Cricetulus griseus: one gene and its partners. The protein of the gene in region 1 binds, or shares a complex with, the protein of each later gene. Links are inferred from orthologs where the notes say so. Each region holds a gene or a part of one and is shown on either strand. Other genes may lie near its edges. The genes, in order: Arf1, Ap1b1 and IQ motif and SEC7 domain-containing protein 2.

What was found.
Region 2: the proteins of Arf1 (region 1) and Ap1b1 are in contact, whole or in part, in a cryo-EM structure (PDB 7R4H), measured with the Homo sapiens proteins. The link is inferred for Cricetulus griseus from reciprocal best matches to the Homo sapiens genes ARF1 and AP1B1. Residues at the interface, in NP_001019397.1 of Homo sapiens: Glu17, Met18, Tyr35, Ile46, Thr48, Ile49, Gly50, Phe51, Asn52, Val53, Glu54, Thr64, Trp66, Lys73, Leu77, Arg79, His80, Tyr81, Gln83, Asn84; in NP_001118.3 of Homo sapiens: Asn23, Asp25, Pro52, Asp53, Val55, Asn56, Met58, Gln59, Met83, Ile85, Met86, Ala87, Val88, Asn89, Thr90, Val92, Lys93, Tyr121.
Region 3: the proteins of Arf1 (region 1) and IQ motif and SEC7 domain-containing protein 2 are in contact, whole or in part, in a crystal structure (PDB 6FAE), measured with the Homo sapiens proteins. The link is inferred for Cricetulus griseus from reciprocal best matches to the Homo sapiens genes ARF1 and IQSEC2. Residues at the interface, in NP_001019397.1 of Homo sapiens: Arg19, Gly24, Leu25, Asp26, Ala27, Lys30, Thr31, Ile46, Pro47, Thr48, Ile49, Gly50, Phe51, Asn52, Val53, Glu54, Thr55, Thr64, Trp66, Asp67, Val68, Gly69, Gly70, Gln71, Lys73, Ile74, Pro76, Leu77, Trp78, His80; in NP_001104595.1 of Homo sapiens: Arg810, Gln811, Gln841, Arg845, Val846, Gln847, Gly848, Glu849, Ala850, Gln851, Val853, Glu854, Glu858, Asp879, Phe882, Ile883, Phe886, Ala887, Ile889, Leu890, Asn892, Thr893, Asp894, Tyr896, Ser897, Pro898, Ser899, Val900, Arg904, Met906.

Annotation. Positions count from the first base shown.
Region 1 is NC_048600.1:73,284,198-73,294,822, reverse strand, and holds the start of Arf1 (ADP-ribosylation factor 1), read left to right. Parts: upstream 1-6,085; 5' UTR 6,086-6,226; intron 6,227-9,894; exon of another isoform or gene 9,895-9,963; intron 9,964-10,625. UniProt on the Homo sapiens protein: Small GTPase involved in protein trafficking between different compartments. Modulates vesicle budding and uncoating within the Golgi complex. In its GTP-bound form, triggers the recruitment of coatomer proteins to the Golgi membrane.
Region 2 is NW_023276807.1:99,874,908-99,885,432, forward strand, and holds part of Ap1b1 (AP-1 complex subunit beta-1), read right to left. Parts: coding exon 10,434-10,525; intron 9,543-10,433; coding exon 9,297-9,542; intron 8,111-9,296; coding exon 7,920-8,110; intron 6,866-7,919; coding exon 6,644-6,865; intron 4,394-6,643; coding exon 4,273-4,393; intron 2,886-4,272; coding exon 2,790-2,885; intron 1,800-2,789; coding exon 1,684-1,799; intron 1,392-1,683; coding exon 1,226-1,391; intron 1-1,225. UniProt on the Homo sapiens protein: Subunit of clathrin-associated adaptor protein complex 1 that plays a role in protein sorting in the late-Golgi/trans-Golgi network (TGN) and/or endosomes.
Region 3 is NC_048604.1:107,285,009-107,295,496, forward strand, and holds the end of IQ motif and SEC7 domain-containing protein 2, read right to left. Parts: intron 9,087-10,488; coding exon 8,987-9,086; intron 7,929-8,986; coding exon 7,767-7,928; intron 5,966-7,766; coding exon 5,792-5,965; intron 5,312-5,791; coding exon 5,262-5,311; intron 4,674-5,261; coding exon 3,708-4,673; 3' UTR 2,992-3,707; downstream 1-2,991. UniProt on the Homo sapiens protein: Is a guanine nucleotide exchange factor for the ARF GTP-binding proteins.

The DNA of each region.
Region 1 (10,625 bases):
AGTTTAGGAGATGCTTTAAACATTTCTTGGGTCCAGTGGGTTACATAATATATATAAAGTTCACTGCTTCACACACTTGATATACGGTAACACATGTGTTATGTGTACATATATGCATTTCTTTATGAAGAAATGAGCACCTTTGTCCCTCCCTTTATAAAATAAACCCCTCATGGGGACTCTGGTTACATAGTCAGCTTCCTGTGCCCTCTAGCCTTAGTTTCCTCCTTTAGGGGATAGTTGGCCCTAGCACTCTAGGAAGATTGACTGTCCCCAACTGAACAGGAATTAGGAGGAATTGCTCCTGTTCTACAGTGAGACTGTTAGCATATGACTTCCAAGTGGATGCACCCTGAGAGGCCTGGACTGAGGACAGTGGCTGAGCTACAGGTGAAGGCTACTTTCTATGGTAAGGATTGACTATCCAAAGTGGAGCCCATAATGCCTCTTGTGGAGTCAAATCTGAGCTAGTACTAGTGATCCCAGGTTCAGATGTTGACAGGTACATCAGAGTCTACCCTGCTCCTCTGCATCCTGTGTGTATACTCTTCAGGTCCACAGTTCCTCTGTCCCACACCCTTGGGTCCTCTCTGGCCAGACACCAGGGTTCTGGAATGCTAGGTCTCAGATCTGAAAGACAGCCACTAGCCACAGGTTGTCCACCAGGAATGTTCCCTGAAATGGGGAACATCCTGATCACCCCCAGAATAGTCTAGAATTGCAGGTTCCTGATCTGATGAGAAGGATGCTCTAGGTTTGAGGCGCAGAGTTTCAGCAGGCTCCTGGTTACCAGGATGCAGACCAGCTTGTGGGGTGATAGGTATTTTATTATCCCAATGCACACAATGAAGCTCCAAGTGCTCTTTTTCTTTCTTTCTTTTTTTTTTATTTTTCATTTTTGGTTTTTTCTCGACAGGGTTTCTTTGTGTAGCCCTGACTGGCCTGGAACTTGCTCTGTGGACCAGGCTGGCCTCAAACACAGAGATCCACCTGCCTCTGCCTCCTGAGTGCTGAGATTAAAAGCATGCACCTGGAGGGTCTGGAGAAGGATCTTAAAGAGAAAAACAAAGTCAGTTTCTCCTGTAGTCTCATATCATAGTCAGCATAGGAGACTTCTGGGGTTCCCAAAGGTGTGGTGACTATTGCTCACCAGAAAGCAGTTTGTTCTTTAGCAGTGGACACCAGCAGGATCTGCTAATTTAGGTCAGCCCTGGGGCTGTCTGCCTGGAGCTTTGGATGCCAAAGTTGGGGGATCAGTCTCTGAGATATCCCCACTTCAGTGTTGAAGTAGGCCCAGGGTGAATCTCTTTTTATTCTGATGTTCTGCAGTTGTAAACCAGCTCCCTTTATTCTTCTTTGGGCTGCACTCATCAAGAAGCTCACGGAACTTGTGTTGATTGATTTACCATGAGAATACTTAGCAAGGATACAGATGAAGACATATAAGAGGTCAGGTATGTGGCAGCGGTGGGGCTTCCATGTCCTCCTTAGGGTTTTATAGACATTTTATTACATGGGGTGATTGGTTAAACCACTGGCCATCAGTGATCCCCTCAATCTTCAGCCCTTCTTCCTTCTCTGGGAGCTGAGATGAGGCTAAGGGTCCCCATCCTCTGATCCAGCCTTGGTCTTAATATATATATATATATATATATATATATATATATATATATTAATGGAATACACCTCACTTCCAGATTCCCAGGATTTTAGGAACCGTATTTTAGAAAACAGAATTTTTTTCTCACTCTCCAAGCCTGAAGAAAGAAGTGGTATAAGCATTAGGGGAAAAGCTGGGTTTGGGGGCCCACACCTTTAATTCACTTGGGAGGCAGAGGCAGGTGGATCTCTGTGAGTTCAAAGCCAGCTAGATCTACATATCAAATTCTAGGATAGCCAGGGCTAAACAAAGAATCTCTCTCTCTCTCTCTCTCTCTCTCTCTCTCTCACACACACACACACACACACACACACACACACACACACACACACACACAAAGAATTAGGGAAGGGCACTGCTCTCCCTGTATTTCTCCCTCTGGGAAGTCATTAAGGGTGTAAAGTTCCTCTTGCAACCAGGTACTAGAGGTCCAGAGTTTTGATTGTATGAGCATGCTGAACATAAGACAAAATACCAAGTGGAGTCCAAATGAGACTTAATGCTATGCAGAATATCCCTAAAGACACTGTGAAGTTACTTTTTCAGCCAGTTAGCCTGCTCAGAGACGCCTGCTGGGAAGGGCTTTTGAGAGCTTGAGGGCAAGCAGAGTAGATCAGGAAATACTACAGGTGTACTCCAATCTGCCCAGTGTATAAAACTTCCCCAACAGGCTAGATTGCCTGGTACAGTGATGAGCTCCCTGGGAATCCTATGGTGGGAACCCATAGGAACCCTGGAGAACACTGTAGTCTGTAAAAGAACCAAAGTACCCGAGTCCTAAGAGGCCAAGTAAAGAGCCACATGCCTGGAAATAGTCAAACATGGAGATTAAACTCCTTATCAGTTGGCTCAGATATGTGCCAATTGTATGTGCGTGTGCGTGTGTGTGTCATACATACATACATGCATACATACATACATATGGAATAAGACTTCTACATTTCTAGGCATCAGTAGCCTGGCATGAATGCCACCCATCTTACATATAGAGGCTGCACAAACTGTCTGGGGGAATGGATGAGGTCCTCAAGGCACAGAGTTCCTTTTACCTCCCACTGGGTCTTGTCTCCTGGGGGCATTCCTGACTCTAGTCCTTACTCTAGGTAAGGTTATCTCTCTAGCAACCTGGAGAACAAGAAGCTAGGCCACTTGGCATCCATGCCTCTGACTAGGTCCTTGGGAGTAGGTTGGTCTAAAGGGAAGGGCCTGGACTTTGCTTTGGTGTATGATCAGCTAAAGGGGAGGTGAGGTGCCATAGGCACTCCTACCTTCCTAGTATACAGGTAGTTGAGGATTCTGAACACCTTTCAGTGAGCTCACTTCGCCCCCTCCTGGACAGAGCTTGTCCATGCAGGGACTTCAGAGAGGAAAAGGCACTCTGACCCGAAGCAACCTAGGTGGAGGAGTTAGCCTCAGTTTATCCAAGCAACTGACATTTCCTGGTAGGGTCTGTCCTCAGACATGCTCACTCAGGGCTCCCACAGATATGTATGCCCTTTCCGCCCCCCACCCCCATCCCCACCCACTGGGACAGGGACCAAAACAGAAGCACAGTGAAAGAAGGAAGTATGTTTCTTAACTTGGGAGTGGGCAGACAGCAATCTGTTGATCATTTTCAAAACTGTATCTTACATAAACCCCATCTTGTCTCTCCATTATTTCATTTTGCTAAATTCTATCCCCCCCATAAAGTTTCTTTGGATTTTTATTTCTTTAAAAATGATTTTGAAGATTTTATTTTTTAAAAAGTAAAGATTTTATTTAAAATGGTTTTGGTGATACATTGCTTATGATCTAATAAAGCAACTGGAGATCAAAATGCAAAGCTAGCCACAGCCAGAGAGCCAGGCAGTGGTGGTACACACCTTTAATCCCAGGACTAGAGAGACAGAGGCAGACAGATCTCTGTCTGTTCAAGGTTACACTGAGCTACATGAAATTGATTTAGTCTAAAAGAGAAAACAGCTCACACAAAGGTGATCTCAGCACTTGGGATCACACACCTTTAATCCCAGCACTAGGGATGTAGAGACAGGAGTGATGTGGCTGGGCAGAGAAAGGAATATAAGGCAGGAGGAGACAGGAACTCAAAGGATTTCAGTCTGAAGCTTGGTGGAGAGCAGTGCAGTCTGCGTTACACTCTGAGGATTCGTGGAGACAGGATCACCCATTTCAGTCCTAGGTAGAGTAAGAGCTAGTGGCTGGCTGCTTTTCTTTTCTGATCTTCAGCTTGAATCTCAATATCTGTAACTGGGTCTTTTATTATTCGTTTTACAATTTTTTAAAGGATTTATTTATTATGTGTACAGTGTTCCGCCTGCATGTATGCCTGCAGGCCAGAAGAGGGCACCAAATCTCATTACAGATGGTTGTGAGCCACCATGTGCTGGGAATTGAACTCAGGACCTTTGGAAGAGCAGGCAGTGCTCTTAACCACTGAGCTATCTCTCCAGACCCCCTGTGTTACAATTTTTAAAAGATACTTTTTAATTGTATGTGTGTGTAAGTGCAGATGATTGTGGAGGTCAGAAGCATCAGATCCCCCAGAAATGGAGTTATAGGCAGTTGGGAGTTGGGAAAGGAACTTGGGTACTTTGTGAGAGAAGTATGTCCTCTTAAGGGCTGAGCCATCTCTTCAGCTCAGTTGTCCAATTCCCTTTTTAATATACACTTCGGGATGGAGAGATGGTTCTGTGCATAAGACTATTTGATGCTCTTGTAGAGGCCTTGAGTTTGGTTCCCAGAATACAAATGGCAACTCATAAACACCTGTAACTCCAGTTTGGATTTATTTATTTTATTTATGTATGTGAGTGCCTACAAATATGTATGTATACCACAAGAGTGCCTGTTGCCTAAGGATGCCAGAAGAGGGAGTCAGATCCACTGGAACTGGATATATGATTCAACACTCAAAGTTTATGTGCAATATGAAAATTTCACTGGAGGTTTAAACCCGACCTGGGGAGGTGGGAAGAACCTATCATCCATTGAACATTATTAAGTATCCATAATGGCTATTTAAGTTTTTAATGGACACAAATAATTATTTACAGGGTATAGTGAGTTTTGGGGCATGAATGTACAGTTGCCAGGTTAGGATAAATGGATGGACTACCACCCTATCTATTTTGCCACAATTTTATCTTTTTAGGAACAGAAAGGGTTTGTTCTTGATTAGTAATCTGTAGTTTTCCTTGACACTCTGTATCTTTGTCTTCTCATCTATAAAGTGGCTGTGACAGGCTTCTTATATGGCTGGGATCACAGGCCTCTGGGTATGTCCTGCCATTTTTCCAGGGAATGAAGAGCTAGCACCACCCAAGGCTTTGCATGAATACTTGCTGTGTGTTGAGGGTGGGAGATCAGGCAGTTATCTCCATAGAAACTTACAGAAGTGGTACTTAAAAACCGGAGGTCTAAAGCCAGGCGGTAGTGGTGGCACACGCCTTTAGTCCCCACACTTGGGAGGCAGAGGCAGGTGGATCTTTAAGTTCAAGGCCAGGCAGGGGTATGCAGAGAAACCGCATCAAGAAGGTGACCATTTCCTAGAACCCTGACAAGTTTAGCACCCACAACTCTTAAGAGAAAGCTCTGGAGGTCTCAACCCCCCAAACAACAGCGAGGATGCCTGGACACAGTGTGATTGATTAATCTAGGCCCATGTAACAGAAGTGCCTCCTGCCAATTCAACAGATAGGGCTCCAGGTTTTTTTTTTTTTTTTTTTTTTAAATGCCCTAGGTCCCTCAACATCTCTTGCCTGTGGGATTCCTCACAATAAATGAGGTGGAAGAACTGGACAGGCCTGACAGAGCGTGGGTCTGATTCCTGCATAGATGGGGAGGCAAGCAGATTTCTGCTGCTTCTGACCAGGCAGGGAAGGCTTCTCAGGGAGATGTAACAGGTTCCTCCTCTCCTGCACCCTTCAGGAGGCCACCCCATCAGGGGCAACCTAGAGTACCCTCTCAGGCGGTGCTAACTCCACACAAGTCTTTGGGTCAGCTCTGAGAGTGCACACAGGGCCAAGGCTAGCGTAGGGGCACGGTACCTATCTGACACTTGGTCTGCGCCTCTTTCCGCTCTGGCTACTTGTCAGTGATATCATTATCTTCAGTGCCCAGGGCCAGCTGGAATATACCTCTGAGAGGAACATCACACCCCCTCAGTGCTGACACGACCTTCCCACTCTGACCTTGGCGCTCTAGAACGCTTACTGTCCTCAACCCCCGCATCCGAGGAATGGGCAGGAATTCCGCAGGAAGGCGCGCGTGCGCACGCGTCGATGGACACGGAAATCCACCCACCACACCCTTGTGCGTTCTAGTCCGGGGAAACCGGTGTGTGCTAGCCCGGGGCCGCGATCCGGAAGCAGAGCGACTTTGGCCCCGCCCCGTGAAGGCTACTTGGTGCAGACGCGCAAGCGCCATTCATCTAGGGGCGGGGCCTCAGGCGTGCCCGCCCTCTTCCCCCGGCGTGCCCCGCGGCAGGCGCTGACGTGGCTGCCGTCAGCGCCGCCATCTTGTGGGAGCGAAACCAACGCCTGGCTGGGAGCAGCCGCCGCGGAGGTGAGGCGCTGGGCGCGTTGGGGCTGAAGCTGGGGAGGCCACGGGCTGGTCATCGTGGGCGTCGAGGGGCGCTCGGTTCAAGCTTCTAAGGGCCGAGTCTGGTCGGGCGGGCCGGGATCTCTGTCTAGCGGACCTGACGGCAGGCCGGGCAGTGGATCGGGGCTCCCCCAGTCCCGCGTCGCCCACGGCCGCTTGGCCCTCCCCCACTCCGCGGCCCATACGCCTGGCCGCCAGCCGCGGGCCGCAGCCCGGAAGTCCGGCCGGGACGCCGGCTCCATTCCAGGAAGCCAGGTTTCCTGCTGTTCCTCTCTGCGCCTCTCCTAGGTTCCACGGCCCGGGAGCTCGGGAACGGGGAGCAGGGCTCGAGGGGTACGGGGGGGGGTCTCCCTTCTAGAAGGGCTAGCCGGAAGCTTCAGATACGGCACGGACCTTGGGGTAGGGGAAACTGAGGCTTGGGTGGCCCTCAGACGGCGTCAAGGTCACTCGGGTGGCGAGGTCTTCCTCCTCTGTGTCTCGAGTCCGGTTCCTGTCGGCCCGGAGGACCGGAGCTGTAGGAGGTGAAGGGCTGGGACCGGTGGAGCGGGGCTCCGGACTGCTGAACCGGGTGCTTGGATTTAACAAGCGCATATGCGGATTTCAGTGGATCCCAAGTGCCCACTCTGATCCCTAGTGAGCCGTGATTTGTGCCCCACACTTTTCTGGTGAGATCTTCATTGAGGTTTGCACTCAAGGGCCCGGTGGCCTCTGCAGGAGTTGAGCCTTGTTTTACCTCTTGACTGACCCCCTTGATGCTCCTTTGGGTGGATTAGAAAGGCCCTTCTGAGTTGGGGAATCTTTAACCTGGCCGTGGAACAACCTGCTCCCAGGTTCTGAGCAATCTGCTTGTAACAAGAGGCCAGATCCAGTGTACAGTTCTGGCTGTCCAGTCAGGGTGGCCATGCCGTGTCGGACTGTATGTAGCTGAACCGTTGCATGGTACCTAAGTGGGAGGGATTCTCCCTTCCAGCAAGTGGCTGTTTTGCTGGAAAAGAAAGGGGCAGCTGCTCCTGTTCCCAGAAGGCACCAGAGAGCCCAGTAGTTGATGCCACAACCAATGTTGGAGTAGTCCGTTGTAGTTCTTGTTTCACAACTAGTGGTCAGCAGTTTTTCCTGCAGGCTGAGTCTGCAGTGAGTGTAGAACAGAAGACTAGTGAGATGCCATGGTGCTTTGGGTGCTGACTCCATGTCCTTTCTCTGTCTTAACCAGTGTCTACAGTACCTGACATGGGTGACTGCCTGTAATGTCCTCACCTTTGAGCTTTCAGCAGCACTGTCTCACATAGCCTGGACTGTGAGATTTGATGAAGAGTGTTACTCTCTGACTTCTCTGTTTTCTCCAGAGTTGTGAGCTGTGTGGTGTAAGGGCCAGTCACAGATTTGTGAGCTACATTGTTGTAACTACATTGTCTCCTTGGCATGAAGGTTTCTCTTGATGGAATGTCTATCGCTTTCATCCCTAGGTATCTTGTTGAAAATGAGTCTGACTCACTGGTTCACCACACTGTTGTCTTGCTTGTGAGGCAGATGTAGAGTTGCTACTTCAGAAAGGTTTAAGAGCTAGGGGTAGAGTGCTTTTCCTAGCTTGTATAAATGGTTTGGCTCTCTAGCACTGCACACACAAGGTTTAACTGTGAATAACAGCTGACTCATACTCAGTCTACTTATCCTGGAAGGAAGGTAGCAATAGCTAGTTCTGTGCCCCTCATTTACAGTTATAAGTCATGTAGCTGAGATGTCCACTATACCTCTTGAACAGTAATTCCTTGTAGAGAGGATCTTTGTTCCATTTTGGTTGTTGCCTCAGCCCAGGACCAGGCAGGATTCAAACTACAACCTTTTATTTATTTTTTTCTTTTTTTAAGGTAAAGGTAACTTAGACCAGCAGTTACTGTGGTGACGACCCAGTGTCAGGCAACCTAACCAAGAGAAAAAACTTGTTGTGCAGGTTCATGCAATAGCTTGTCAACAATGGTTTGAGAGTATTGGGTCAATGTTTTTCAGATTCCTTGAATTAAGTGTTACATTAATGTGCAGGGTTTTTTTATTTTGAGACAAGGTTTCTCTGTGTAGCCCTGGCTGTCTTGGAACTCTCTCTCTCTGTAGACCAGGCTGGCCTCAAACTCTGAGATCTGCTTGCCTCTGCCTCCCTAGTGCTAGGATTAAAGGCCTAAGCCATCACTGCTCAGCTTGATGTACAGGTTTAAATCTACTGTTAATCACAAGGGCTGTCTATGTGTGTCATTTGCACTGAGGAGCCCAACAGACCCCTGCCTGCTCTAGTTTGCTATGTCATTCATGGTCTGTCTGTCTGTCCATCCCTATTTTCTCTCATGAATCCCTTTGACTTTTGATCTTCATGAAATTGTCAGTGATGGTGAGGAGAGAAACATGAAAATTCCTTTTGTGTGTATGCTGTATCTCCCCTGTCTCTCTGTCTCTCTGTCTCTCTCTCTCTCTCTCTCTCTCTCTCTCTCTCTCTCTCTCTGTGTGTGTGTGTTTGTGTGTGTGTGTGTGTACACATATACACGCATTGGGATTTCTCACTACACACTGAGGTTTATGTTCAATATTGATTGTGATACAGATTGCAGGTAATAGCTTGTGGTGTTACTTGTTAGTGTAGGACCTTTTAGGTGTTCACCACCCTGTCCTACTACATATACAAAGAAGTGATGATACTAATTAGGGCCCATCTTCCACAATATTCTTATCTGGTCCTGTTCCCTGAAATTTTTACTCACATTGGTAACAGGGCTTGGCTGCCTGTCAGTAGCCAATATACTAGGAAGAGTGGCACTCCCTGCAGGCCCTGATATAGGGAACGTTTTCAGTAGTAAGAGGAATTGATAGAAAATAGGAACATAGGCTGTTTATGGGGAAGAGTTTGACTGTGTAGTTTGTAGTACAGGTTTGCCCTAAACTCCTGCCCCAGCCTCTAGAGATTACAGCCTGCTGGGATTACAGGTGTGTGCCCCCATGCTAGGCAGGCATATTTTTATAGACAGCAGTTGGGGGTGATTAAGTTTATGTGGTAAACAGCTCCCCATATTTCTGAGGATCTGAGAATTACTGCAGTATAGCATGAGTGAGACTTGGTTATTAAGGAAACTTTCTTAATCAGTATCTATAGAGGTAAGTATACATGTTAAAGGGATGCTAGCAAACTAGTTCTTTCCAACAGGCTCCTTGTGCTTGATGGCTGTATGTTAAACAATAACTTTTTGTCAGTATCAGTTGTCAAAATATTTTTGCAATGGCTTATACTGAAACAGGGAAGTTTGTGGCCCAGATTCTCTATGTGTCCTCTGACAAGTTTTTCTTTCTTTCTTCCTCTCCACCCCCTTTTTAAAATTCTGTTGGTATGATTTAGGTGCTTGTTTCCAAGAAAAGGGTTGAAAAGGGTTTCTAGATTTTAGTGAGAGTCATTGCTGAAGAATGAGAATGAAGGCAGAGCTAGATGGCCTGCAGTGTGTGTTCCTCTGGAGCTTCCTGTTCTGTAGATAAGAATGCTCTTCTTTCTTGTTTGATTCCAGGAGCTTATATTTAAAATACTCTGTCTTCTAATGACTTTGGTGGTAAACTTCTGCTTGGCATTATTTTCAACTTTTAACATTTCTGTTCTGTTAAAGGTCATATCAGACTTTGGACATACCGAAGTGATCAACTGAACTGTGTGCTTAGAGCTAGCAGTTCTTGAGGTAGGTTTGACGCACACCTGAGTATCTAGATGTTACTGGTGTAGGAATGTTAACACAGAAGCACACTTGTGCATAGTTTAAAAATAATGCAACATTGCTTGTTGGCCCTGTAGTTTCCCTGAAGGGATTAGCTTCTCTAGGTGTGTGATTTTTTTTTTTTTAATTTTTAAAAAAATCCCAGTGGCCTTGATAAACCTTTTTTTTTTTTTTTTCCCAGTGCTTGTGAGGAAGAGGCAGGTGGATCTCTGAGTTTGAGGCCAACCTGGTCTACAGAGTGAGTTCCAGGATGGCCAGGACTATTTCATAGAGAAACCCAATCTCAAAAACAAAACAAAACACTTCTATTTCTTCTGATAAGGAGTCACCTGTGAGGGGCCTAGTGGAGGAGGCGGCCTTACTTAGCATTGGATGAAAAGCTATTTGCCCATGTATGCTATTGGAGTGTTCATCCCAACCATCCTAGAGTGACATGGGCAGGTACTGGGGCCTATCCAAGGAGGCAGAACTGTCACCTCACAGGTGACGTTTATGCAGAAATAAGATAAAGATTGGCAAGTTTGAGGGAGAAACCAGAGGCTTCTTAGTAGCCCAGGACAATTGATGCAAGGGCTCCGAGCTGAGTAAGTGTACTGGAGTTTGGAAACCAGCCAGGAGCAGTGAGA
Region 2 (10,525 bases), on another chromosome or scaffold:
ATTACAACTGTTTACTATTTATTCATGTGTGTGCGAGGTATGTATGCCATTGAGACATGGTGGAAGATAGAGGACAACTTGCAGGAGTTGGTTCTCTCCTACGACCAGATGGTTCCTATGACTGAACTCAAGCTGTTAGGCTTGGTGGCAGGTGCCTTTACCCATTGAGCCATTTCACCAGCCTTGTTTTTATTGACAAGGTCTCATGTAGCCCAGGCTGGATTCAAAGTCTTTATATAGCCAAGGATGACCACCAACACCCGATAAAATTGCCTCACAAATGCTGGGATTACATGTGTACACCGTCACACCCTGCTTCCATGTTTGTAAATCTGCCACTTGTTGCCCCTGAAAATCAATATTCACAGGGCTTAAGTGGTCATCTGTAGATAAAGGCTGAGCAATGGAAACCTAAATCAGCTGATGAATACTTCCAAGCTGAGGCTGGGACAAGGCAAGGCTGATTCTACCCTTCATTTCAGCTCTCATTCTGTAAAAAATGTATCCTTCTTCTCATTTAAAATGGCTCCCAAGTATAGTGTTATAGTGCTTGTCTAGAAGGCTCTAGAAATGTTCTCTGTGGAGAAATATACATGCTAGATAAATCAGTCAGGCATAAGTCAGTGTTGTTGGCCACTGAGTTCAATGCTAATGAATCAACGGTAAAGGTTACATGTTGACCAACTGATAAAAATGTGTCTAGATGTCATAGATCTAACTTTTCCCCTCTCCTGGAAGTGCTAGCTCAGTACTTATTCAGGAAATGTGGTGGTTATAAAACACAAATGCCAAGAACAATAGAACTGGCTCAAATGTCTGCATGAACATCTAGTGGACCATTCCTATAATCTCTAATGACCAAGAAACTTAAGTATGCTAGTAACTGGGAGAACTATGGCCACTTTGAAAGCAGTTAGAGGAAGAATTTTCATTATATAGTCCCAGGAGTATTTCTATTTGGAACCATGTCAATGTACTACCAAAAGATAAATATGAAATCAAAACAAAGCCAGAAACTTCTGACCAACTTCCACACACACCACAGACTGTCCTATGTCTTCTGAGGCACTGCTGTGGGGGAGAAAAAGGGGCCACACAGAGCCTGTCAATTAATGTCTATACACAGTGGCAATGCAATCGGAGGGAGGAAGGAAGGATATAGGGGTGGAACAGGCCAGAATTGGGCTAGGCAATCAGTGATGGGTGTGCTCACATGAAGGCTCACCTGGGTGCTCTCATCATGAAAACCTTCAAGGAAGCTCTCCAGCAGCTCATCTGCATTGTCAATCCGCTCAGCATACTCGCCCACTATCCAGATCATAGCAGCCCGGGCCTCAGGCTCATCCAGGGAGTCTAGGTTCTCACACAGTGTGGCTATCACGCTCTCATACCTAGGAAAGCAGGATTGAGCCAGCAGGTAAGCACCAAGGAATTTTGGCCAATGTGTGTGGTGGAGGGTTAAGGGCCAAGTCAGATAGGCAGCTGCCCAGACCCGGAGAGATGGTGAAGACAGGGGGTGTTTAGCTGGAGTTTAGCTGATCTTATTTTGGCCTGGAGGGCCAGCTTGGGTAAAAGAACAAAAAAGACAAAAAGTTTCTTCTGAGAAAGCTATGAAATGGGAAGAAAGGGAAAGGAGGAAGAGGAAGCCGAGCTGCTCTCTTCCCATGCGGGGTGGGCACCTACTTGTTGGGGTACTTGCGGAAGATGTCCTTAATGACCACAATGGCTTCCTGGACTACATAGTTGACCTTGGTCTGGATGAGATCAAGCAATGTGCTCACACAGCGCTCTGCAGATTGCTGTGTGGGAAGAAGAGGCAGTGTAGGCAAGGTCTCTGCACACAGTTTCCAATTGGGCTAATGATCCTGCTGCAGTCAAGCAGCTTCAGACCCATTGCCCACCTTCTTTATTATAGCATGAAAACAGATCTCTTTCCCTTGACAATGGGGAGGCAGAGGACAAGGGCCAAATGAGGGCCCTGGATGAAAAGGACACACAGATAGAATGAGAACACAAGACAGCCAGAGGTGTAGCTCTTGAAAGTGTGAGGTCATTGGGAGTTCCTCCAGGCAAAGGGCTGAGTGACCCTATTTGGCCCCATCTCTCTGGCTTGTTTCATAAAATTGGCTGCAATGGCTAGACCTACAAAGTTTCTGTACCTAGTCTTTTGCTTTTATTTCTACATACTATATAATAGCCCGAAGGGGCAGATGTCTCAGGAGAGCAATAATAAAAATCAAGGGGAAAACAGCTTAAGATGCTGTTTTCAGGGTCCTGAGTGGGTATGACCAGCTATCCCAGGGTCCTTAAGCCACCAGCAGACCCACTGTGTACAGGTCAATGTCAAGGAATAGCTCCCCAGGCAGAGTGGAGAGAATGAAATGTCAGGGCACTGGGTTTAGAGTGATTTAGTAGGTCAGAAGAAGCAGCCCAGTAGCTCAATCAAGGTATCTTCTGAAGTATCTATCAGGCAGAGGTCCTGCCGCAGATCTCTGTGGTAAGTCTAACAGGAACTCCATGAGCTGGTGGCTGTCCTGTGGCCTTAGATAATGCTGTAGGAGAACCATCATTAAGAACCATCATTACAGGGGCATCATTTCACCTGTTACAACTCAAGAGCCTGAAGTGAAAAAGAGCCAATGTAATTCTGTGTAGTGGGTACCTTGGAGGCCCTGTTGGTGACCCTTGGACTTCCTGAACCATAAACAGCTTCTAGGATCAGACTGGCTTTCTGTTTTCAACAACCTTCTCCCTCCCTGGCTAGGAATGGAATCCCAGAACCTATTCACCTCCACCTTGATGGCACAGCGACCGATGGCACGCACTGCCTTCCGTACAAAATCCACATCTACTTCTGTAGCATACTCTTTGAGTTCCGCCAATACCTGTGATCCAAACAGAAAATGGATTGGAGATATCCGATGGAACAATCTGTTAGAATACTTGGGTAACAGAAATGCATGAACTCCCAAAGGGACGGGACTCTGTTGTCTGCTCACAATGGACGGCTCAGGGGAGCGTGTCATCAGGCTCCTCAAAAGGAAGAGAATTCAAAAGGAAGGTAGAGGATGACTATGTAGCAAGGTTCAACAAACCTTGCTTTACACTGACAGCTACTATATCCAAGAACCTCATTTTGTGTGTGTGGTGTTGGGGATGCTAAGTAGATATTCTACCCCCAAACTACATTTTTCAGCCTCAGCTACTGCTTTTTTTGTGGGGGGCGGAGGCGGTGGGGAGGCAGACATAAGGAGGTACGCTTATACACATGTCTCCACATGTGGAAGCCAGGACATCCTTGGGTGTCATTTCCCAGGATCAATCTACTTTTGTTGTTATTTTTGTTTTGAGATAGGGTCTCTAACTGGCCTGGGGTTTGCCAGTGAGGCTAGGCTGGCTGGCTGGCTAGTCAGCCCCAGGGATCTGCTTGTCTCCACTTCTCCAGTGCACTACACCAGACTGTGTGTGTAGGGGATGGGGAGAGAGACCGAGGCAGAGAGGGGGGGGCAGACACACACACACACACACACACACACACACACACACACACACACAGAGAGAGAGAGAGAGAGAGAGAGAGAGAGAGAGAGAGACAGAGACAGAGACAGAGACAGAGAGAGAGAACCAGTGATATGGGGGGTGGGGTATGTGTGTAGGGAGGGGGTAGGTGCCACAGAGGATAGAAGAAGGTATCAGATACCTTGAAACTGGTGTTACAGGTGGTTGTGAGACCCTCTGTGGGTGCTGAGAACTAAACCCATGTCTTTTGAAAAAGTAGTAAGTGCTCTTAACTATGGAGCCAGCCATCTCTTCAGTTCCCACACACAGATTTTTAAACATAGGTTCTGGATATTAATTTCAGGTCTTCATGACTGCCCCTAGTAAGTGCTTTACCAATTGTACCATATCCCTAGGTGACCAACTACCATTTTTTAGTGAATAAATGATAGATAATAATAGAGAGAATAAGGAGAATTTTTTGAGTATGTATAGGGAGTCTATTTATGTTGTCCAAGGTAGTTTTGATCTTATGACAAGTGATTCTCCTGCTTCAGCCACCCAAGTATCTGGGACTTCAGGAGTGTACCTTTGTGGACAGCTTGAGAATATTCTTTATTAATACAGACATTAGTTGTTTTTGCTTGCTTACAGAGCTCTATCATCCACAACTCTCCATGAGATAGAATGTCACAGTGAGCATGCTGACCTAGACACACCTAGGAAGTTGTCTGACACCAAAGCTTGTGCCCCACACCACCATACTCTGCTTGCCTGGGCGATGTTGGCCTGGGAGGCCAGGCGGATCATAATGTCCAGTTTCTCCAGCTTCACGTAGATGGGGTCATTGTACTTCACAAAGAAAACTTTCATTTCATGCTTCAAGATTTCTGGCCTGGTGGTGGGGCAAGATGCCCAGAGAATAAAAAAGAAGCCATAAGACCCATGAGTCGTCATTCCACATCTGCTGGGGAATTCCTGGGCTATAGGTGAAGCTTGATGTCCAGGGAGGCAGAACAATAATCATGACTGTGTGGCCATAGGTAGTGGTTCTTCCTGGCTACAGCTTGCTGGGTCACATCTCAGGAAGGAAAAGTAATTTACATGGATAGTAGGCAGCAGGCCAGGGTTCTAATCCCAATGTGTGACCTCAACCCTTGTTTCCTTACTCATGAAATGAGAATGAATTGCGCAGGAATAATTACTAACCCAGGCCTGAATCTGGTGTGTATGAACTCAAACTCTCGGAACATTCATCCTGTTCATTCAAAGATAAAGACGGCTGGCTATGCCTAGACCATTTATAAACAATACAGTTTATGCTTAAACCCTGCTTTCCTTCTGCAGTCCTGAAATAGTGTGCCCCTATTGCCCTATTGCCCCTAGGTGCCCTGTCTCAATTTGGCTCCTTGGGAGGAAACATTCCACACTTGTTGCTGTTCTCTGCTGACCTTCCAATAGAGGAAAGCTCAAGAGAAAGCCTTTCATGGATTCTTCTATACTCTCCCTTATGTAGGTCACTCTACTAAATCTCAGATAAGGAACACAAATGACTACTGGGAAATGCTAGCCAATCTCTGAACACAAACAGACTCCTGCACAATAGGTCAACTGTGGGAGATGGAAGCATCTAGCATGATCAATGCCTGCTATATGAAGGCACTTGCCAATAGGAACTGTCACCTGCTGAGCTATCTAAGTGTATCTACTGCTCCTCCCTTGCTGCCTGCTGCCCTCAAATGGTACCACGGGACACATTTTTCTAAGACAAGGGAATATTGAGAGGTTACAAAGCTTGCATTTGTCACAAACTAAAAAGTTGAGAACAAGGTAAGAGGTACCATCCTGGTTCCTACTTCTATGTCCTTCCCAGGATAGAAACTAATAATTGTAAAACAAAGTTACAGCCAGGGATGAAGCTCTGTGATGGGGACAGAGGAAAGAGGAGTTCAAGGGTCTGTGTTGCCATACAAACTGTGGAGAGCCTGGCTGAGTAAGGAGCTTTTGTGGTGCTCTATGGGGGAGAAAAGACTCTGAGATGAGTAGTAGGAAGATGACTTCTACAATTGAGACTTTACAAAGGCTGCCCAATCACGTCAGGCTGGTCCACGTCATGACTAGGTGACATAGACAACTTCTTAAGAGATTGTGTTAAATATAGCACACAGAACCCTTCAGGCTGGTCTTGTTCCTGTATTCTAATAAATGCAGTGATCCGAGGACACTGGTATATAGAGACCCACACTGTAACAGCAAAGCCCTAGTCATATCACGTTACTCAGAGACTTAGAACACTTTACCCATGTTTACTCTCCAAGTCTTCATAAATGTCCCAGCTCAGTAAGTATCTCTGTCCATCTAAGAGACATTAAGAACCAGATTGCTCCTGTAACAAAGAAAGTATGCTAATTTCCTAAGGCATGACCACAAGGGGCCCTGTTTACTGTGGTCCTGGTTCCTAGCAGCAGACAGTAAAAATGAGTTGCCATTGCTAAGCCCTGAGTGCAGAGAGGCTGGAAGGAGAGTTTGGGAGGTGGATCTCACCACACTGCAGGAACCCTGCCTTAGAGGAAGGAGAAGGCCATTCCAGAGACACTGCAGACCCACTGCTGCTTATGGAGTTTCAGACCTTACCCATCAAGCACCAGACCCCTTCCTTGGGCACAGTGACTGACTTATTGGAGTCATCCTTGGAGGAAGGAAGCAGGTTGCCCAGCATTCTGTTCTACTTCTCCCTTCAGGCTTTGAGGCTGATGCCAAATCCATGACTTCTCACCATCTCTAGGGTCTCCAAATTCAAGGATTTTGATGATACCTATGAACTTTGTCCCCAAGCAAACTGCACACATATAAAATCTTCAGATATCCCGAAGGACTCTACAGACTCTGAGCCACTAAATGTCTGGGCGAAGCAGCACCATGCTTGCCTTTACTTATTCGCTTTCTCTAAGTCTGAGTCAGGGCTTTGTAACATTGACACCCTGACCTAGGCCAGGTAGTTTCTTATAAGTGTCCCCTGGGGGGTAAAGTTCTCTGGTTGAGAGCCCTGCAGTACTCTTTAGACTTCCTGCCTGGTGACAGATCAGTTTCCCTTGAAGGTCCCTGTCTCTAGCATGTAGCAAACATGTAATGGCAGTCTCTGTACCTTTTCTGCACGATGAGGTTGATGTTGCGCAGAGCCACATACTGCAGCTCTGGCTCTGCTGACAGCAGTGTGACCAGAGGAGGTGCTAGCTTCTTGAGCAGTGTGCCATAGTAGTCCAGGTCCTTGGACAACATCTCCATGAACTTCATTAACACCTTCACAGCAGACAGCACCACAGCAGAGTTGGCATGGGAGAGCCTAGGAGTGACCCTTTCACAGATGCTGGGGTCCAGCCATTGCAGTAGTGCAAAGAGAGATAGACAAGGGAAAAGTCCTGGTTCACTTATCAAAATAGCATGTCTTTTTTTTTTTTTTTCTTTTTCTTTTTGAGACAGGGCCTCATATAACCCATGTGGGCCTTAAACTCACTATGTAGCCAATGAACTGCCCAAGAAAAGGGTTGCTCCACCCCCACTTTTTCTTTTTCTTCCAGGACTTACACTGAACCTAGGGTCTCATATATGTGAGACAAGTGCTTTCCCACTGGTCTTAACATGTCTGATCCTCTTGCCTCCACCTTCCAAGTGCTGAGATTACATGCACACACCACCATGTCTGGTTTATGTGGGGCTGGGGCTAGAACCCAGGGCTTCATGTATGCTTAGTAATCACTCCACCAACTGAACTATCTCCAGGTAAAACAGGATGTTTTCTATAGGAGGAAGGCCTTCTGGTCTGCTGCCTACTGATTCTAGCAGGCCTAGAACACAGTGAGCCTCACTTTCCTCATCTCAGAGTTGGTGTAACGGTGTCTACTCCACAGGTTTGTTGGACACCTAAGTGAAAACAGTGAATACAGAGCCTGGAACATAGTAAATATCTCTAAATGTAAGCTCTTTCCCTTCTACTGTCAAATTCTTTCATGTTGGTCAAGACAGTCCCAGCTGGGTGAACTACGCAATTCCTTGCACCTCTCTAATTCAGTCTCCTTGTCTGTAAGATGGCTAATAATGATGGGATACATTTCAAAGATCTGCTATAAACATTACATAACATGGAAGGCACCCAGCAGAGGTCAGATACCTAGAGAACTCAGTGGTTCTGAAGCTATAAAGCTCTTCATTCAGCCCAGATGGATCCTTGTCAGTTCCTGGCCAGACCCCATACAACTGACAGCATGGTTCAGGAGATGAGAAGCCGGCTGGCTCCCTTAAAGTATGTCTGATGACAGAAGAAAGGTCTTGGAAGGAGGCCCATTCAGGCCTGAGGCCCAGCTCAGAGAGGTCATGAGGACCATATCCAACCAGGCTGGTAAGCAAGGGGTTTGTATGCTCACCTCTGTGCCTCACGGTCATCCTTGGGCATGTAGTTGGCCAGACAGTCCAGAATGAAGATCTGGCCCCACTCAGTGCATTCATTAAGGGCTGTCAGCAGCTTGTTGATGGACTGTGGGTTCAAGTCAAGCAGGTTGCTACTGGGGTGAGACTCCGCAATCTCTGAGAGGGCAGCCACTGCATTTGCCACCACCTGGTTGAGAGTGGAAGGGGTAGAGGCTGGAGGGACTGCTCAAGTTAGGGAGCACAGGGGCTAATGACACTAGTAGGTCAAGATGGGACACTCGATAAAGAATATGACCCTACTGGTAGGTTTTAGAGTCTGAAAAATGTCTGACTTACAACACTCACCCCACTGACTCCTCTGTAAAGCAGAACTAAAATAAGTACACCTGTCATTGGAAAGAAGGGAAAGAAAGACCCAGCTCCAGGCACCTAGCAATGGAAGGCAATGCCCAGTACCAGTCCAACCTCCCTCTACTGGCTAGAGCCGCTCATTGCAGTGGTTGTCACCTGTGCTTCTCAGAGACAGAAGAATCCTGCAGATCTCTTCAAGGCTGCTGAGAGTGGATGGGTCTAGACTATAGAGGGGTTTACCAAATAATGTTTCCACCAAGACAGCTCCTTTTATGTACAATCTATAATGTTTTCAACTTTCCTCTATGACACAGTGTTATAGTAATCAGTCTTTAAGAGCAATCAGTGTTTTGTTTGGGTACAGAGAGGGGCTGTGCCCAATGTTTTGAATATTTCATTTTTTTCTTTCATAGTGTTAAATTTTTAGGAAGGATCTCATTATATAGCAGAGGGTGGCCTTTACCTCTTAGTCCTTCTGCTTCAGCCTACTGATTGCTGGGGTTACAGGCCCTGACAAACTACACTGCAAAGTCTTGTCATCACAGTGAGTGAGGGGATTCGGGTTCCCACCGAGTCCTGGTGTCCTGTCTTCCACACTATAGTATTGTAAGGTGACATCTCTGCAACTCTACTAGAAGAGAGCTATGTGTTCGGGAATTACAGGTCTTGGTTAGGAGCTAGTAACAGTGACAGCGATTAGAAAGGGAAGGACACTAGCACTAACTGCAGAGTCACTGCTTGCCAGGTCAGGCCAGCTAGATCAGGTATGTCACCTTCCCACAGTCTAATGAGACAAACAGGGATCCCAAGATTAGGCAGCTTTCCTGAAGCCATGTAGATAGTTTGAGAGGGCCAAAAGAAATCCAGGCCCAGCTCCCTGCAAGCCACTGCAAGGAACAGGTACTAGATATTCCTCAAGGACCTAATTTCTAAGAAAAGGAAAGCCAGGTGGGAATCATGCCAGGTGTTCTTCCCAAGGAACCCAGAAGTCTGTGGGCATCCCAAGGGCTGTTAGCACTTACCATGGGGTTAGAGTCAGAGATGAGGTCTTTAAGTGTATCCAGGAAACCCTGGTCTTCTACCAGCTGGGCATTGATGTCATGGAGCTTGGCTACACACACAGCCGCTGTCTTGCGCACATATGGATCTTCATCCTTCAGGCACTTTCGGAGTGGTTCACACAAGTACTCTGTGATCTTGTCAACTCGAATGCAGCCCATGGTCCTTACAGCCAGGGCCCGGATGAGGGGGTTGGGGTCCTCACAGTCCTAAGGGGGACCAGTCATTGGGCAGGGGCAGGATGAGTCATCTGTGGCTTCCTATTCTTCCTGGCTTCCAACTCTAGACAACATCAGGCAGCTGCTGTGGGGTGTCCACTGACCACAGCCAATAACACTCAAAGTAAATGCCACAGAATGGATGCCAAGCATCTGCCAGATACTGTGTGAGGGGCTTTATACACTTTCTCTGTTGCTTCCTGGGGCCCTGTTTCACAATCAAGGAAGCTGAGGCTCTGCAGAAGGTTCTGTGCTCACCCCATCAGAGCAGAGCAGCTATGCAAACCCATATGCTCCTAGCACTATAGTCCTCAATCTTTTCAGACAAGGCCTTGCCCTGTTGCTGAGACTGGCCTGGAACTCACTATGTAGCCTACACTGACCCACAACTCTTGGCAACCTTCCTTCCTAGCCTCCCAAGTGCTGGAATTATAGGCACACACAGCCATAGAAACGTTCATTTTCCTGTATGTGGGCTGGACTCAGTGTCCAAGTTCATGCTCTGCTCATCTAGTAACAGAAAATACAGAAAGGAGCCATCTGGTAAGGGAATAGAGCTGCTCTCAGATGCTTGCTTAAATCTGCCATGGCAACAGACACGAGGAGTGAGTGGCCCAGCCCAGGAAAATGAAAGGCCAATAGGCCTAGTGCCACCTCATAGGGAATGAATAAACCACAGTCTTTAGGTCTGTGGTTCTGGAGAGAGAGGGGGCCCTCTGCTGGAGGAAGAGGCCCTCAGCCTGATCAGGCAGAAGGAAGCCTGCAGGCCTGCAAATGTGCCTGAAAATTCCATCCAAGCCAGAGTACCCCAGTATTCCAAAGAGACAGGGACATGAGACAGTGAGCAGTCCTTATCCGCATTCCCACTGGGTTCCTACTCACCTTCACAAAGGTGTTGACAGCCATGATGGCCATATCAGGCTGACTCTTGGCATAATTCATTAAGTACAGGTACACCAGCTTCTTTAGCTCCA
Region 3 (10,488 bases), on another chromosome or scaffold:
GAGGTAGGCATTTCACATGTTATCAGCTAACAATGTATCAGCTAACAATGTATCAGCTAGCAATTGTCCTGAAAAACTTTTTGTTTCCATTCTAGAGGTCAAAAACCAGGCTCTCAGGGGTCAGGTGAATTGCCGAAGAAGCATGGGTCAGTATCTGAGTGCTAAAGGCTAACCATTACCAAGATACAGCCAGTCACTAGCTGAAGGTAGAAAAATTGGGAGAGACCAAGGAGAGCCTAGCATAGCCCACCAAGGAAGAAACCAAAACATGCTGTGTGGACCCCACATCTGGGCTCTTCAAACACTCAGGTCGGATCCACCAGGAGGCACCAAACACTTACATGGCTCTAGCTGCTGCTCTAGTTATCTTCTTTGGGTGGCCTTTCAGCATGCTTTACCAGGAAGAAAACAAAAGCACTGATCCAAGAAGGGTAGGGTCCTCTAAACCATCCCACCATTGCAGATCCTAGGAAAGCAGCAAAACTGCCAACTGAATGTTGTCTGGGGACCCTGCTGAATCTAAGAGCCATTACTCTGCTCCATCTGTCCCATGTTAGGCTGAGACCCAAGGCATAACTACTGATGCTAGAAATGGGTCCATTTTACAGGGACACAGCTTGGGGCAGTGGAAATGGGTTTGGGCAACAAGTAAAGAAAACTCATCTTGCCAGGTGTTGGTGGCTCATGCCTTTAATCCCAGCACTCAGGAGGCAGAGGCAGGAGGGTCTCTGTGAGTTCGAAGACAGCCAGGTCTACAGAGCAAGTTCCACGACAGCCTCCAAAACTACACAGAGAAACCCTGTCTCAAAAACACCCCCCCAAAAAAGAAAGAAAGAAAGAAGCCCCATCCTAACTTGCTGTCTGTTCTGTCTCCTCTGTAAATGAAAGACAGCTATTTGTTATTTAGTATTCTAAGTATATACACAGAGCTCAAATAAAGTATTTAGACTTGAGCCTTCCTAGCTCATCACCTCCCTGGTCTCAAAAACAAAAATATGGCCAGCCATTGCATGGAGAGTCAGTAGCAGGGATTTCAAGGCAAAACCAGGCCAGTCACAGGAAGAGTGAGAACAGAGGCCACACACTTTCACATAGCCACCCTCTACAGAGAAGACAACTAACTTGCTGAATACCTACTCCATCCTAGCTGCTTGGTATTGATTACTTCATGCAGTTAGCACAATTCCATGTAGCTGTAACTAGACTGGCAAAAAATGAAGATATTCTTTTTTTAAATATTTATTTTTATTTTCAATTATATGTATGTGTGTATCCATATGTGAGTTATATGCAAGTGAGTATGTTGGATCCCCCAGAGTTGTGGAGTTATAAATAGTTGTGAGCCATCATTTGGGTTCTGGGAATCAAACTCCAGTCCTTTGCAAGAACAGGAAGTGTTCTGGGTTTTTGTTTGTTTCTTTGTTTCGGTTTTTGGTTTTTCCAGACAGAATTTCTCTGTATAACAGTCCTGGCTGTCCTGAAATTCAGGACCAGGTTGGCCTCAAACTCCCAGAGATCCGCCTGCCTCTGACTCCCAAGTGCTGGGATTAAGGGTGTGTGCCACTACTCTCTGGGCCAAGAAATGCTCTTAATCTCTGAGCCTTCTCCCCAGCCTGAATATTTTACAGAGACATTTGTGCCTCTCAATCTATCAGATTATTGAAACAATGGGCTCCAAAGAAAGGGAAATTCCCCAGGAATCTCATGCCAGAAGGAGAATTTGTCTCCAGGAAAGAGATTTTACCCAGTTCTAACCATTTTATAGGATGAGACTGAAGCCCATAGAAAGAAGGGCCAATGGTGGCTTGGACCACACCTTGACCTCAACTACTTCCATGTGCCTATCCTTGGCCCTTTTTTTAAAACTTGGACCTACCTTCAGGACCCTGAAGACTGACTTGGGGGTTTTCTAGACCCCTTTATTTGTCTTCCAATATGGTCACATTGAATCAATCTCTTATTCATTCTGCTTTCAACTTTTAATTTGGCTCTTTTAATTTGCTTGTCAACAAGCCAATTAAGAAACTGACTTAGGGCAGAGGTTGTGACCTCCAAGTTCGATAGCATAACAATATGCGGTCATCCCAGGTGGTAAAGTGAAGTGACTAAGACTTGGGAGAGTCATTCCTTGAAAGTCTTGTGCCTCAGTGAAACCCTCAGGGTATGTACTGGATCAACACAAAGGCCCACACTCCTGCCACTGTCATGCAGAGGACATAAGAAATGAGACAGGAAATCCACCCTCATCTACACTCCTACCCAAGCAAAGCATCTTGCCCACCCAGTTGTCTGAATTACCATTAACACATCACCTCCCCAGACGAGTGCCTCTCTCTCCATGGGCTCCACAGTGAAGGGGGCATAAGTAGGAGGCAGAGGCCAGAGGTGAGCACAAGGTCTTTTATGAGGCATCAAATATACATTCTTATATACAAGGAGGGAAAAAGACAATGCCTGGACCCCCGCTCCTCTCCACACAGTCCCTCCCACCAACACCCTCCCACAACCCCAAGCCCCGGGGACCCTTTGACATAGAGGGTCCTTCTGTCTGTCTGTACTGCAGCCCATACTGGACAAGGGAGAAGAAGGCAGGGACTGTGAAAGGAGCTGGATGTATAGGGCAAGAAGAGGAGTTGGGACTTGTAAAAAATATATTTATAATAAATAAACAGGGCTGTGAAAGGACTGGCGAGGCAGTGGAGATTTTGATGAACAAGAGGGGCTTGGGCATTCTGGCTCGCAGCCCCAGCTCTGATGGCTTCGATCTCTGCCTCAGGAAGGACATCTTGGGCTCAGGGTGATCCTCTGGGAGTCTTTCCCCAGGGCTGATGCTGGGTGCCCTGCCCCAGTGTGATATGTGTGGGTGATATCTGTAAAGTGCATTGTCTTCAGATGTAGGTGGGGAAAGTAGAAGGAATGGGGGGCATGCAATATGGGTGAGGGAGGGTAGTACCCTTCTCATCCCAGACCTGAGCCCCCCGCCACCTCCAAAAAAAAAAAAAAAAAAAAAGACTTTGATCAGGATAAGAACATTGCAGAGGGCAAGGCAAGTTCCTGAAGCCAAAGAGGTCTGGGCTGGGGCTTATTAGGAGAGAGGGCACACACAGACTGGCTCAAGAGAGGAAGCAGTGCCCTCAGTGAGGGGCCAGCACAAGCAGGGTTCCACCCACAGAGTGCACGGAAGTCTGTGTCCTCCAGCAGGCAGAAAGACACATGGAGGTGTGTGGCTAGGCCCTGAGGTTTGGCCACAGCTCTACAGAGCTCTCTCCTAGCCCCACACAGCCAGAGGAGCTCCAGGGAAGCCTTCACCCCCACAGCTCCAGAAGCCTGCCTTCTCCACCAGCTTGCAAGGAAGCTCACATTTGCCCAGAGGTCTGAGGCCACCCACTAGACCTCCAGGGACAAGAAAGAGAAGAGGAAGACAGGAAACGGAGGACAAGGACTGCGGAGAGGCCCTTACCACTTCCCAGCACTGTAGTGCCCTAAGTACAGGCTGCAAGTGGCAAGGGCCCTCCGATCCAGAAGGAAACCCCATGACAACTGCCAGGGGTTGAAAGAAGGGTCTGGAGGTGTGGAGGAAGTGGAAAAAAGGACACTGCTGAGTGTATATATATTTAGAAAAAACTGAGGAAGAAGAGAGGGGGCAAAGTCCCTCTCCCGTGGATTTCCCCAGACTATCCTGTTCCCCAGGACACTCATCCCATTCCTCAGACCACAGTGCTGATCCGGCTTGGCTTGGCCTTGGGGTTTGCACTGGGTGGATTAGCCGTGCCAGGGGGCCCAGAGGCGTGCAGTGGGCCATGGGGGGAGGTGGGTGGTAGGGGTGAATGTGGGGTGTGAGGTGAGGGTGGGGGCAGGGGTGGGTAGGAGGGGTGAGGTGGGATGGGTGAGTGTGGTGACAGTGGTGACTGGGGGTGGTGAGGGTGGGAGTAGGATCCCCCTGGTGGCCGGGAGCCAGGGCCCCCAGCTGCACCTGCTGCTGGCATCATCTGTGGGTGGTGACTGAAGATGAAGTGCTTGGGGCCCTGTTTATGGGCAGGAGGGTGCTGTGGAGCAGGACTGTACAGGGGTAATGGGGATGTGGGCTGGTGCAAGGGATGGCGGCCATGTGGAGCAAACTGAGGGTGTCCTCCAGTCCCTCGTCTTGGGGCTCTCCCTGGCCGGCCCAAGGTATAATGCTGGGGTCCTGGAACTGGGCCATGGGCATGGAAGTGTCGATGTGGCCCCACAGGTGGGGCTGAGGCAGGTGGTGGTGGAATGGAGCCCAGCTGGGGCAAGGGTGGAGGCTGCTGAGGGGGTGGAGGCAGAGGGGGTTGCTGGGGTGGGAGGTAGGGTGGTGGGGCAGGGCCCGGTCCTTGGCAATACTGGGCATGCAGGGCCTGGAGCTTGGACTGCCCATCAGGTAGCACCCCCATGCCACCATGGCTGTGACCATGGTGGTGGTGGTGATGGTGGTGGTGGGTGGAGGAAGCAGATGAAGACGAGGCAGAGGCCTGGCCTGTTGGCGGTGGTGGCATCTGGAAGGGCCCTTTGCCTCTCTTGCTTCCAAATAGGGAGCCCAGGAAAGATGAGGAGTTCGAGACTGGCCTCTGGCTCTTGTACTCCTCTGGCGGCGGGGGTGGGGGCGGAGGTGGCATCCTCTGGTGAGGGCGTGGACTGCTAATAACAGACCCCTGAAAGGGGGGAGGGGGGGAAGTCAGGCCAGTCTAAATATCCTAAACCCCCAACCCTAAACTCCACCCCTGTCCCTGAAGCTGGAACAACAGGGATTCCCAAAGTAACAGCAAAAACCAAACAGCAGTCCTGTATTTGTGGCCAGCTCTGCTCCCCAGCTCTGTTGCCACATCCACTACCTCAGTTGAACCTCAGAGGGCAGAGGAAGAATCAGTAGGACCTCCTTCTCATGACCATTTCTCAGGCCAAGAAAATGTTAGGCCTAGAAAGGCAGAGTAACTCGCTCAGGGTCAAAGAGCAGGATTTGGAGGTTAACGTTTCTTGAGGCCCAAGTCCAAGGGCATCCCTATTTGGAGTTGGCCCTGGGGTTAAGAAGGGGCATGGGAGAGTGGAAGACAGACTGAGAGACAGGCAGAGTGAGGACAGACAGAGTTGAGGACAGATGGAGAAAGTGGTTGGCTGGGAGAGTCAGCCATATGGTTCCCAGCACGGAAGAGGGGTAGGCAACAGGTCCCCTCCTCCTCTGGGGCTCCATGGCCAGGGCGGGGCTCATGCAGAAAATGAGTGGGGCAGGAGCGGACACTTACTTCGATGGTGCTGTCCAGCGATCCCACGCTGTTACGCCGCCCCCGCTTCCCTGCACCCACAAGCAAGGAGCCCAGCGTCAGAGCAGCAACCCTCCCTCCCCACCCTGCTGGGCTCCAGAGCTGGGCACCAGGCCTAGGTCCCTCCCAGGGACAAACACCCCTTTACCCCTCTCCCCCATTGAAGAGGGGGAGGTAGGGAGGAGGAGAGGTTGAGAAGGAGGAAAGAGAGGAGGAAAATATGGAGGAGAGGCAGTAAAGGAGAGACAGAAGAGGGAAAAGAGGAGAGGGGCTGAGTCTGTGGCCCCACTTTATACTCCCTGGCAGAAACCCTGGGCCCCACCTGTTCTGACCTGGCTACCAGGCCCCCTGTGACATAGTGCCCAGGGCTCTGAAGGAAGGGTGTGTGTGTGTGTGTGTGTGTGTGTGTGTGTGTGTGTGTGATGGAGGAAGGCTAACAGCCAGTGACAGGAGGCAAAAAGGACACCTGGTCCCGCATCTCCCCAGTCAGGGCAGGGGCCCAGAGCACTTACCTGCATCAGAGAGGTCTCGCAGGGAACTACTGAGTGCACCCCGCTTGAGCCCATCGCCTGCCCCATAAGTGTCCTCCAGACTACTGCGGGCCAGAGTCCCATTCACTGAGTCCTTGGCTCCTCCAGGCTGTGAGGCATTAGGCCGCATCATACCTTTCTGCTTCTCCAGCTCCGCTGGGTAGCAGTGGAGAAAATGGGGAAAGATCAGGAATAACACTAAGAACCCACCTGATAGACTAACAGCCTTCCTCACTTTTCCTCCCTCCTTCTGCTCCCCAAGCTTCCTGCCCCACTCCCACCCCTCTATTAGTACCCCCCCAAACTGCAATTCTATCTTCAAAGCTCCTTAGGTGCCTAGCTCACCCTATGCCACCTAACCCTTCTTTTTCTTTCCTCCCTGAAAGTATAGGTGCCTACACTTCCTGCTCCCTTTTCTTTACCCTATTGTAGACAGGCCTCCCTAATCACTCCTGCCACTTATTTATTTATTTTGAGATAGGGTTTCTCTGTGTAGCTTTGCAGACTGCCCTGGAACTCACTTTATAGACAAGGCTGGCCTCAAACTCACAAAGATCCACCTGCCTCTGCCTCTCGAGTGCTGGGATTAAAGGCGTGCGCCACCAATGCCAGGCTCACCCCTGCCCTTTAAACAAGAGCTTTACAACAGATGGCTCACAGTAAGGATGGGAAGGCCCTTCTAGCCTATGGAGAAAGACAGTCCTTTCAAAGTTCACTCAGTTTTCAGATGCCTTGCTTCATAGCAGAGGAGCTCTTGGAACAGCAAGGGCAGGAAACTGATGGGAATCAAACCCTCTATTATGTGCCAGACAGGATGCTGGGGACAGCACACACTTGATCCCTCTCATTCCACATTATGAGCATCATCTACATTGCAGAAAAAGAACCTGAGAACTTGACAAGTCAGAGTCTGCTCACGGTAGGACAGTTGAAATCGGTAAAGCAAACATTCTACAAGCAGGTCTATCCTGCTCTCCTGGCCCCCATACCTCCAATGAGGTCAGGAAAACTGGTCTAGTGGGCCTCTCCTTATCTTTATATGGCTGATCTCCTGCCTTCTATTCCCCCAGGGGTTCCAGGACTCTACTAAACTGATAATGCGCCTTCCTGAAGACCTATTAAGGAACTGACTACTGCTTCTGTTTCTCTCTGCCTTCTTCCTCCTCGATGCCATGTTACTTAACTGTGACTGCTTAGCTTAGAAAAGAGAAAACCTGGAGGGCATCAGGAAGAATGAGATAAAAATCACTATTTTCCATCGTCTATGATCGAAAACACTTGGCGTAGGCCCTGGTTATTGAGCTGGACCTCAGCTCAGGAGCTGATACTGAGGAGAGGAGATAGTGAATGGTATTATTGGACACCATGGATGCACTGGTCTCTTCTCTCTTCCTTTCCTTCATCTTCAACTTCTCCTCTCCTCTTCCTTTTTCTCTTCCTCCCCTCTCTTTGTGAGAGACTCACTACATAGCCACGGCTGGTCTGGGAACTTCAAATCTTCCTGCCCCAGCCTCCCCAGTACTGAGATTACAGGTGTGCAACCACTGTGTCTGGCTCCTTGTCAAACTCCATGAAGATTTCTTTATCCCGGTTTCATCTGAACAAAGGGTTCAGAGGGCCATGGAACTCACCCAAGTTTGCCCAGATAACAAATAGCAAACATGAAGTATGAAGCTACAGTCCTATCTCCTATGCCCTGAGTCTTCTCCTTGATACCATGCAACAGAAGGAAGAGTTGGCTCATGATTAGAGGGTGGCTGTGGAGGCCACAGCATAGACTCACAATGACTGGAATCATCTGGGGTTAGGAAGCAATGGGCTCCTAGAAGCTGAAGGGTTCCTAGAATGAGGGGTAGGAAGGTTGGGCAAGCTGGCCCTTAACTCAGAATATAGGATTTTTGGTGTCTGTGGAACATTGTATCATGACAGGAGTAGCTACATGACTGTAGCTACTCACATTCCACACGGTACTTCTCCATCTCCTGCACTTCAGCAATAGACTCCCGCAGGTCAGAGGTAAAGCGCAGCCTGTCTTGGAGGCTAGGAGCATTGAAGATGATGAGGACTTTTCGTTCCCCTCCAGGTACCGCAGACAATAGCTTGATCCCAAACTGATAATCTGCAGCAATGAGAGCAGACAGAAAAGCTGGGTATTTCTTTCTTTTAATTACTTTTATTTATTTTCTTATTTTACATACCAACCACAGTTCCCCTCTCCCCTCCTACTTCCCCCCTCTACCCCCAACCCACCCCCAATCTACTCCTCAGAAAAGGTAAGGCCTCCCATGGGGGGTCAATAAAGCGTGGCACATTAAGTTGAGGCAGGATCAAGCCCCTCCCATGTGCATCAAGGCTGAGTATGGCATTCCACCATTGGGAATGAGCTCCAAAAAGCCAGCTCATGCATCAGGGATAGATCCTGGTCCCACTGCCAGGAACCCCACAAACAGACCAAGATATACAACTGTCACCCACATGCAAAGTGTCCAGAAGCTGGGTATTTCTGTCAGGTTTGAAGCAAAGTGGCTAAGACAAGAAACTGAGAAATGATACAACCCACTCCCCATTGCTGCCAAGCATCTCTGAGACAGAGTCATCCTATTTGGCTAGTCTCAAATTCCTGGGATCAAGTAACTTTTCTGTCTCTGCCTCTCAAATACTGTCCTACACATCACCCTGTCCACTTTGGAAATCATTCCAGTAACATCCAACTCTGAAATGCCTCTTTTGTGATCAAGCATCTTCAGTGGTTTCCCTTTGCCTCAGACTCCTGGTAGCCCTGGCAACCTTATCCCAGACTGCAGGGTGTAAAAGCAAACAGAATTCTGAACTGCTTTCTAGAAACCTTTCCCTTTGTACCTCTGCCTCACACAATGACTCTGCTCTCTTGAATGATATCCAATCATGCTCTTCTCAGTTCAGTACTTCAAAGCACAGTGTGACTGCCACATCTGCTCACTAAGGAACACATCAAACATTGCTGTTCCATGTTCTCCAGAAACCACACCCAAATCATACTCCATTCTAGTCTTCCTTTCATCCTTGGACAAGAAGATACTTTGGAGACTTTAACCCAATTGTAGAGGACTTGAAAGGCTAGAAGCTAGTGTAGATGAAGGATGCGCATGGGCTCTGATACACCCTGGGACACATGCTAGGGTTCAAGAGGGGACTCACATGAATTCTGGAAGAGCTGCATGTGCATTTCCACCAGGGGAAAGGACTGTCGGAAGCTGTATGTCACCAAGATCTTCTTCTTCTGGAAAATTTTGGTGACCTTTGGCAAAGAAGGGTGGGAAAAAGATAAGAGGCAGGGTTTAGGGTGGGGAATTTCCAAGTGGTACCCATTTCTAGTAACCACCTTCCCCACCTATTTCCAGTAACAGATATATACACATGAACACGTATACCCACAAGGGAGAACTGAAACTTGAGGAACGGAGAGGTGGAGAAAATGCAAGCTTGTGACATCATGAGCATACACAGGCATGTGACTTTTAAAGGAACTAAACGAATGCCTGGCCCTCCAGGAAGCCTGTCCTAATACCTCACATAGACTTCTGTTCCTATCTTCTGAGCTTCCAGGGTGCCGGTTCTATACCTTTTCCCTTGTTAGACTCTATAGTAGTTGTGAATACATGATGGCCCCCTGCTGTCCCACAGGTTCTCTCACCTCCACCATTCAGAGCTACAGCAACTTCTGCCTAGCCTTCAAACAGGATTAACAACCTGTCACCAACCCAAAGTCTTTATCAAGTATTTAGGCATTCTGGATTCTACACTAACATAAGCTCGGACAATCTGCAAGTAGCTATTTTATTTCATTTATTTTGTATGATGGGGATGAAACCCTGGGGCCAGACAAGTACTCTATTGCTAAACTACAGCTCATCCTCTACAAATGACTCTTTTTGTTTGTTTGTTTTTTGAGACCCCCCCCTCCCCCGTCCCACCTACAAATGACTCTTAAAATAAATGTTTGATTTTACATTGGCTACAGTGCACAATGGTGTCAAACACTTCTTGGTTTGGTGGTTGAGATAAGGTCTCCATCTTGAAGCCCAGTCTGACCTTAGCTTCATGTTCCTTTTGCCTCCCCCTCCCAAATGCTTACATTACAGGGCTGTATCACCATGTTGCAAAACATATTTTAGGTCCTTTGGGTTGTGAGTCCCTGAGAACAAGGACTAAGTCTCGTTTATCTCCATGTACTCACTCAGTAGCTAACATAGAGCTTCACACAGAGGGGTGTCAGTAAATGAAGGGTATCTACTAGGGCACCTGTGTGGGCCAGGCACATCTGATTTAAGGTGTGACTATCTCTTCCCCCTTTTGTAGTGCTGGGAATGGAACCCAGATTCTTGCATATGCTAAGGAACTACTACAGAACCAGAACCGTATTGTTGGGCACTGACTTTTTAGTTCTTTTTCTTGACAGCTCTAGGAGATAAGGGCTAGCTAACACTATTTCATGAAGCAAGCAACTGAAGTTTGGAGAGGATGTTGAGGCATTTTGTTTCAAGTGGTGATTTTCAACTGGAGAGGATTTTGACCCCAGCTGCCACAGGATACAGCACAATGGCCAGAAAAGATATTGCTTTCTTTTGTTCCCTCCACCTTTTCTTCCCTGAAGATGCTCTCTCCCTCTCCCACCCCTCCTTCTCTCTCTCTCTCTTTTT